Linked DNA regions of Drosophila melanogaster. The protein of the gene in region 1 interacts with the protein of each later gene in a biochemical or structural test. Each region holds a gene or a part of one and is shown on either strand. Other genes may lie near its edges.

Region 1 (4,192 bases):
GATGTGTCCTATGCGCTAGAGATGTCATCCCAGAAACTAGATATGGAAACACAAACGGAGGAGGACGATCTGAATGAAATCAGGAACGAAGTGCTGGCGCCCTTGTTACGCGATATAGAAACCCAAACGCCCGACACCAGAGGCGACATAGGAACGATGACCGATGATTTCCCAGAGGAACAGGAGCCTGTTGCGGTCGGAAGCCATTTCCACGCGTATTCAGAAACTGAACCTATGTTTGACTTGCAAACCTCTGCCCACATGTACACCCAAACTTGCGACGATTTGTTTGAGGAACTGGGGCTGTCCCACATCCAAACCCAAACTCACTGGCCAGATGGTCTGTACAACACGCAGCACACGCAGACATGCGATGAAATAATGGACGAACTCTTCCCCGACAACTTTCAGTCCACTTGCACGCAAACCAGGTGGCTGGACTGAAAGGATACTAGGAGAAGGCGGAAGGTAGAATGAACAGATAAAAAACTCATTGTATTATATACAATTATATATTTATTATTTGTTAAAGTGAAAATTAAGTAAATTATTATTCTGTGAAAACACAAAACAATTCTAAAGCCGTCTTATAATACAAGTTCGTTCATAAGTAGTCAGATTCACGTAAATCTAGACAGACTTTTGGCGAGGTCAAAAAGTTTTGGTCTTGGAGCGACCATCCGACTTGGTCAGGAGCAACTCAGAGCATTGAAAAAAACAATAGCTGCAGAAGCAGAGTGCCACATAGTTGCCCACTCCACTAAGATAGGCGCCACGCATTAGAAAGTCTCCAATCTCCTGTCCGCCGATAAAGTAGACATTGGAGAAGGCGGCCGGAATGAAGAGCTGGGTGGCCAGCATTGCGTACAAGCGCTGAGCACCCACGGCTCCCAGATGACGCTGTGTCCACCGCTGGTACTCCGGCATCGCGGTAAACGTCTTAAACACCTTCTCTGCAGCCAGGCAGAGGAAGTTCAGAATGCTCCAGATAAGCACATAGGTGTAGCATCCATGCCAGACGAACACAAAGGCGAAGGTCAATGCGGTGGCACCGAACTTGGCCGCTGCCGATGATCGCTTGCCGCACAGCTCTGCGTAAATGTTCTGGAAAAGGAATTCGTACAGACCCTCATCGAAGTACTTCCACATGTCCGAGTAGAAGTGGATGCGTCCGATGCAGCGCGGTCTATTGGGCGCTGGGATGCCATCCTGCACAGCAAAAGCTATTCCCAAGCCGTATGTCACCACGTAGTACAGGAAAAAGAACTGGCCCATGAAATAGCCGGCGGAGTGCTGCCAAAACACCGAGTCCATCATCTCCACCATTCGCACATCCCGCGACATGTAGTGTATATAGAAATAGTGGAGGGCGCACTGCATCACCAACCACCATATGGCGCTGCGCAGGACTCCTCCGACGAATCCCAGCCAGTTTTGCACTTCATCCTCCCTCCGGGCTGCGAACCTCTGGTAGCTAATGATCGGCCCATAGGTCAGACAGGGAAAGTACATGGCGTAGCCCAGATACTGGACGAGGCTGTATCTCGTAAGATCCTCCTGCTTAGCTCCAATCTTGGACAGGGAATAACTGCATCCGCGAAGCACACTCCAGGACATTGTGACAATCACCAGGACGTATTCCGTGTAACCAACGCGATCTGTCCACCAGACATTCTTTTGCATCACATTGATGCACAGTATCCAGCCAGCGGACAAAAGCCACACGAGAAATTTTAGTGAGAGCAGGGAAACGATGTAGTAGCTGGCTATCAATGTGACTAGTAGTACCATCGATGACCAGTCCAGGTTTACACTAAGAGCCAAGGCACAGACGCCGATGAATCCCAGACACTGAAGGCGGGGACGTTTCCAGCGTATGAATCCTTGGACAGCCACGTGCAGCAAGTAAAAGGGCCAAAAGCTGACGATAAAGTCTCCAAAGTTCTCCAGCTCATCGTTGCTGTCATCCCGACGCCGCTGGGAAAAAGGATACAAACTCCAGCCCTCCGGAAACTGGAACTTTGCCTCCTTGACTATGTGATCCCGCAGCCCATAGATCTTGTACAGGCCCACAACTATATACGCTATATAGACCCCGAAGTAGACGAAAATTTCGCAGCGGGTGAGCAGGGATCGGTCTGGTAACCTTGACATCACTACACCACCGATTTGGACTCTTCATTCCGGGAAAAGATTGCGATAGGGATGTGAAAAACCAGCGAAAATATCGATATTTTTATACCCTTGCTGGAGAAGAGTACCGGCATTTTAATTACATGCATGTACATATTTCTCTCATGTTATAAATTTGACCCATTTAAAAAGAAGTTTTTGTTAATTTTTGGTTGTATTTAATTAACCAATTACGATGGAGTGAACAATAAAAGAGCAGCAGTTAAAATGGTAATGGTATCTACATATAGAACTAAGTCTACAAAACTACCTCTAGAATAGCATCTCTTGCTGCTCTTCCGGACTCAATTTTGGTTTCATCAGGAGATAGGATATGGTTGATGTACATACACTGATGGGACAACATGAAGTTAAACCCTATGCTTATGGCTTCTTAATGGTAACTTATTGATTCCAGCTGAACGTTTGTAAAACCAGAACTCCGAAGGCTTATTTCTAGTTTAGCATATCGTCTCCGTAATTGGCCTTCAATTCCTTCTTGACCTTTTTATTCTGGCTCGTCGTGCGTCGCTGCAGGTGTCTCCAGAGCGTGCTCTTGGGGATCTCGAAGAGGTTGGCCGCGTGGTTTTGGGACATTCCCTCATTCAGGCAGGCATGCACCGCCTTGGCTAATTTGTCGCGCAGCTCATCCTTGGGCGTATTGTCGCGCTTTCGGCAGGACACGAAGTTGGGCAGGCGTCCCTGGGCGGACAGACGAACCTTGTGTCTGTGCAACGTGGACATGGGGATTTGCAACTCACTGCTGATGCTCTTTAAAGAATGTCCATTCTTCAGTCGCTCGTAGGCCTCTTGCAGGGATGGTCGTTCCCGATTGTTTCGCATGTAGGCGGGATTAGTGCGCACGCGTCTCCAGAGGACTGTCTTGGAGATATCAAACCGGTCGGCGGCCTTTTGTAGGCTTAAGCCCTCGATGATAACCGCGTCGGCCGCCAGATCCAAAGCATCGTTGATATCGTCTTTTACCTCACGTTTCAGAGCTGCGAACTGCTGGATTCGCGTTGGCTTGCAATCGGACAATCGTTTGACAGCCTTCGCACTTATGGGGCGACGGATTCGCGTCTTTCCCCCGCCCAACTTGCGGGGCTTATCGTCTATTTCCTCGTCCACAAGTTGGTCGTGCACGTCGTCATCGTCGTCCATTTCAGTACCAGCTTCTAGTTCCATAAGAGGATCGGCTTGCGCGAACTCCTCGTCGATCATTTGTGATTCGTGCTCCTCAGAATCCTCAGCAAGGTCCGCATCCACGTCATCATCGCCCAGGTCCACTTCAGCGCCACTGGTACCCGTTTCATCTGCCTCAATTTTGGACAAACTCGATGCTGACTGCGTTATGGTGAAAGTGCCCGTGTTCTCGGTGAGTATAAATTGGTTGCCGCTGGAACTTCCGTCCATGTGCTCGATGGAGTAGGTGATCTTCGGCGGCTCGTAGACATCAATGTACTCCAATGACCGACTGGAATGGCTGGGCTGGTGTTGAGAACCCGCGAGTGTAGTGGCTGGGACGGAGACCATCGGATGTGGCTCTTCCTCGTCGTCCAGCAGCTCGGCCTCAGCGATTTGGAGTCCTGTAATGGACTTGGCCGACTCCACGGCTAACGAATGGTTCTCTACATCGACACTGGGTGGACTAGCCGATGGATTGCACTCAAAGCTGATGGCAGATTTGATGCCGAGGAGGTTAATGGCCTCCAGGAACTCGGGGAGCGACGCGGAGGGCAGGCTAGTCTCGCCCATGTAAATGAAGGACAGCATGCACTCCAGCAAATCTCCGCGGATGTCGGGCAGCATTATGGTTGCCTCCTGGCCGCGCGGAACGTCCACCAGGAGGTTGCGCATCAGTTCGCTGCAAGTGCTTAGCACGAATAGATGGGCGCGCACTCGAACGCCGTCCCTGGAGGCCAGCACCACCTCGCAGTGCTGATTATCATTACGCAGCGAGCGCTGGATGTCCATTATCGTGGATGAGTGGCCCATCCACTTAAGATGATTCTGCAAACGG
Region 2 (4,973 bases), on another chromosome or scaffold:
AGTTCGGTGCGCACACAAAGAAGGCAGAAATTTATGTGGCAGCCACATAGACTCTCGCACACACACTCGAATGCCCGATGGCCCAGCATCCAAGACTCGTATATTCCATACCCCCTTCCATTTCAGCTTCTTCATCTTTAATTTGGTTCCGTGTATCTTGTTGATGGCGTTTTGCCTTCTCTTATATCTTTTGCCGCCACGACCAGCTATTGTATTTCTCCTCTTTCGATTCGTTTTATTTTTTTTCTTCGATTCATTTCGTTTTTTGTCGAAATTATTATGCTATGCCTTGCATTCCAGAGCGTTACCAAAAAAAAAAAAAATGCTATGCCCCCCCATGGAATCCGTTACATGAGCAGGTGCACCTTGGCCCTTGGTTCTACCCCGTTGGAAAGTGACAATTTCTTGGGCACACATTGACGGGCGTATTCCACAATTCGCGCTTGCCAAGTGACAGTGCAAATAGACCTGGTGCAACCGCAAAAAAATAAATAAGGTCTGGAAAAAGAGCCAAAACAAAAGATTAGCGCTTGCCACAGATCCAAGTTCTGAAAGTGCGAAAAAGCTAAAAAGTTAAATTGGAGATTTCCCAGTTGTGGGGAATTTTATATTAGCCAAAGTCAACAGAGATAAAACTGGAAATTTATTGATTTCCAGAGTGCGGCATCAATCCGCAACTTAGTTATTTGCTGTGCATAAATATAAGGTACCTAATTGCAAATTGTATTTGCCAAAATCGTTATCGGTTTTTGCAATATATATAGACATATTTGCGATTATTGACATGGCGTTGAACGGAACCTCTGGCGGAGAAGGAAATTGTTAAATTGACCAGTAATTTGTAGGTCCTAAGGCGATATCTAATCGGAACATGACCACTACCTGAGGGGCATATGAATGACTCACTGGGTGACATAAGCTCGGAGCCTTCGATGATCATAAAGTACTTTAGTTTTAAGCACTTTTTCCGTTCCTTGAAGACTGGCAAACGGAAGCAGCATTGAACCCATATGTACTCCACATATCATACCATATACAATATACATATATATGTATGTATATATATAAGGCTGCCCAGGAGTCACACAATACACAAAAAACCGGAACATTATTAATTTACAAGCAATAAAGCGAAACGAACAACAAAACGAAGAAAGGCAACGGAAAAAAGTGAACAATGGCCTGCGATGGAGGAGTTGCAGGGCCAGAAGCGGCTAACAAGCCACAAGACTCGAGTCGAGTCGAGTCCGAGTAGTGCAAGTGTTAAGAGAAATTGCAGTTGCAGTCGAGGATGCTGCAGCTCTTCTGCGCCAGCAACGCACACTATCACACATCCAATTGGCAACAGGCACACACTTTCATCCATGGCCATAATGGACCGCAGCACACTATGCCAATGCCATCCAACATCTGTTGCCAACATTGCTTGTACATAAGAGCCGAAGACTCAGGCACTAACACATGCAAACCAGTCTTGTGAGTATGCTGCATCATCTGGTTGTCCCGCTTCCACTTCCCTTGCGCATAAGGCAGCATAAAAATGAACACCACAGCCGATCGAACGTCGAGTGGCATACGCATACAATCACAACGCGGAATGAACTCGAGGCGATAGTGTGTGTGTGCGTGTGTGTTTGTGTGAGCTAAAAGGCCTAGGGTTCTTGAAAGCACCCTCGTCGTACTCGTACTTATACTCGCATTCGTATTCGCTGCCGTACTCGTACTCGCACTCGAACACTCTGCGCGCACGATACTCCGCTCGGAAATGTCATTTGTCAATCACAGTGCGAGCGCAACGGTTGTCCGAACCGAGAGCTAACTGCCAGTTCAGCGGAGAACAGTTAAGACCGTAGTTAAGTCAGTTAGGACCTGCGATTTCGCCGACTCAAGTATTTCGATTTAGCCAGTTTAAATCCAAATAATACCATAAATCTGAATAACAAACGTGTCGCCAAATAAGCGTGTCTGTGTGCCAAAAGTGAAGTGCTAAATAACCAAAAAAATAAATAAAAAAAATTAAAGGAGATACAAAATCCAATCAAGAGAAACAGCAAACAACGAGTCTTAGATAAATCATGGATAACCACAGCTCAGTGCCTTGGGCCAGTGCCGCCAGTGTCACCTGTCTCTCCCTGGATGCCAAATGCCACAGTTCCAGTTCCAGTTCCAGCTCCAAATCCGCAGCGAGCTCCATCTCCGCAATCCCGCAAGAAGAAACGCAAACGATGCGCCACATTGCGCATACGCAGCGTTGCCTCAGCAGGCTGACCTCTCTGGTGGCCCTGCTGCTGATCGTCTTGCCGATGGTCTTTAGCCCGGCTCACAGCTGCGGTCCTGGCCGAGGATTGGGTCGTCATAGGGCGCGCAACCTGTATCCGCTGGTCCTCAAGCAGACAATTCCCAATCTATCCGAGTACACGAACAGCGCCTCCGGACCTCTGGAGGGTGTGATCCGTCGGGACTCGCCCAAATTCAAGGACCTCGTGCCCAACTACAACAGGGACATCCTTTTCCGCGACGAGGAAGGCACCGGAGCGGATCGCTTGATGAGCAAGGTAAGGAAAACCCTCAAACACCGTAAGCTAGTAACAAAATTTGTAATACATCATTGGGAAAGTTTCGCTTATCGGAATCATTGTGACAAAGTGACTTAAAAATTATTTGTAAAAACCGAAATATTGACTTATTAATCACGATTAATCAGAAATTACTTAACATTTAGTATTGTTAGCAACACAAATGAAGTGAAAACCCAGTCTTACGCCAAATAAATGACTAATTCTAGGAAAAAATGTGAGATAACTCTACCAAACGGAACTTGTAATGCTTTAATAGTACACTTAATATTTGGTCTAGGTATTATTTTGTGATAAAAGTAAGCCTACTTTGATATAGGAACACAATGAAATGCCTGTTAAATCTGAGGTATGGAGGTCAAACACACCATTTAGATGAGATTTTATTGCTGATATTGTTCCGAATTCGTCTTCTATATCAGACAGCTGGGTTCCGATTTGCGGCTAGGCTAATTCCGTGCTTATTGCGCACTGCACTCACATTTTGCCACCCGTCGTGGTCCGTAAATTCAATTGTCAAATTAGCGATCGCTTATCGCTCGCGCTGTTTTATAGCCCGTATCTAGCGATCGCCCGATGGCACGAGATTGTGCCACTCGGTTCCCATTGATAAACGCTACGTGGCGGAAAAGTGCCCAATCATTGATCGAGCATTGGCTATTTCACCAACTTTATGGTGGCGATGGCTGCCATAAAACTGGGCTGAAATATAGTATTAGTTTTGAGCATTGGCCATTTATATGATTAATTATGCATCTTATCGCCGCACTGCACTTGTTTCGCAAGTGCAAAAAAACAGGAAGCCCGATACTCGACGGCTGAACGGTAGATAGCGCCTGAATTCCATCGAACTAAGCCATAAAGCTGCAAAGCGTCCCGAAATCCAAACAAACCGAGCGAACGCGTTCAACAACCTCGAGCCCAATCGATCCCCGGGTCATCATTGCAAATACATAGTTTACTCAACATTGTGTGTACGCTTCGCAAATGCGTTTTCGATTTCGCGCTGAACAACAAACAGGGTATCGAATGCGGGAGATTACAAGTCCCGGTATTTATCAGGTTTTACTCAGCCAAAACCACCGCCCACCGCCCACCGCCCACCCTGTCCGCGCCCCAAAAGTGGAGGCACGCGAGCATTTGCCGCTTATCACCGGCGATTGTCTGATAAGCGGACTGCAGCCAAGTAGTTCGTTTGCCAATACACGGTTACTATCCCCCCAGATAGTCACCCTATATTTGCCAACATGTGTAGCTACATGCTGGCACTGAAAGAAATTGGGTTCGCTTGGCATAATACTATATGCTTGCCACTTTATGGTTTATGCTAAAAGAGGTATATGATGGTTTTTATGTGTGAAATAAAATGTGAAAATTAGTTTAGGTGCAAGTTATACGTTATACGTTATACGTTGCTAGTTGCGCTATATCGGTGCCAGAACAAAATGTGTGCTAAGATACCAGCTAAGGCGAAGAACAGCAGTATCTTATCGCCATAAAAAAAAAGGGGCGGGGGTAGTGAAAGTGGAGTGGGTGGCGGTGGGATGACCACCCAGTTGGTGGGGGAGCGGTGGTTGAGTTTCAAAGTGCGAAACAGCTAAAACAAGTGTTCAATTCAAGCACCATGCGACAACATTTCCAATTAGCCAGCAGTTAGTGGGGTGGTTGCGTTGCGGCCAGAAGTCGGCTTAGCACAGTCAAGACCCCCTAAGAGGGCCGACATTGAAGTTGCTGATATATATAATCGGCACGCTTCCCACCAGCTTATCTTCGTGTTACTTTAATGAAATTTTAAGTGTCGATGTGTAAAAATAGCCTTGTTATTGATTAGCGCCATAAACGAGCTATTGGGCTTTTATGGCGGACTTCCAGTTTCCTTGGACGATTTGGTGCTATTGAACAACAAACTAATAATCAGAATTGTGGGAAGACAGATTACGCCTGCCAACCGACTAATATAGTTGATTTAAAGGGTTTAGTATCGCCCACACAAGTGTTACAATGACTTTCGATTTGTTGATTTATTAGTCAGTGGTTAGTGTTTCGCAAAAACGACTTAGATCTTTAAAAATCAGATTTTACTGTACTGTAAAGTTAAATCGTATTATCGAACCAGTTGTTCGCCTGCTAGAGTTTCACTTGAAAACCAATTCCAAATTGCATTTGGCAACTGCCACGCGCCCATCGGGGGATTCTAAATGGTTGCAGCCATTTCAGATGTTACCTTGAATTTGATATGCAATCAAAAGGTATCGCAGCCTTTCCAGAAACTGGCGAACAATTAACAGTTGCTCGCACGGCAGCACAAACGCAGTGACACACCGAAGGCCAAGGTCCTTCGGGCGATTGACTAAACGGCCAAGGACACTCGGCGAGCATAAAAATCCTGTTGTTCAC

The links.
Region 2: of the proteins of rasp (region 1) and hh, one has a biochemical effect on the other in vitro, tested with the Drosophila melanogaster proteins (one study listed by BioGRID).

The regions. Positions count from the first base shown.
Region 1 is NT_037436.4:3,160,161-3,164,352, reverse strand, and holds rasp (rasp), read right to left. Parts: upstream 2,174-4,192; 5' UTR 2,155-2,173; coding exon 652-2,154; 3' UTR 501-651; downstream 1-500. Other genes in the region: ASCIZ zinc finger protein, read left to right, coding at 1-444; CG15812 (uncharacterized protein), read right to left, coding at 2,629-4,182. UniProt on the Drosophila melanogaster protein: Required in hedgehog (hh) expressing cells for production of appropriate signaling activity in embryos and in the imaginal precursors of adult tissues.
Region 2 is NT_033777.3:23,138,624-23,143,596, reverse strand, and holds the start of hh (hedgehog), read left to right. Parts: upstream 1-1,690; 5' UTR 1,691-2,075; coding exon 2,076-2,555; intron 2,556-4,973.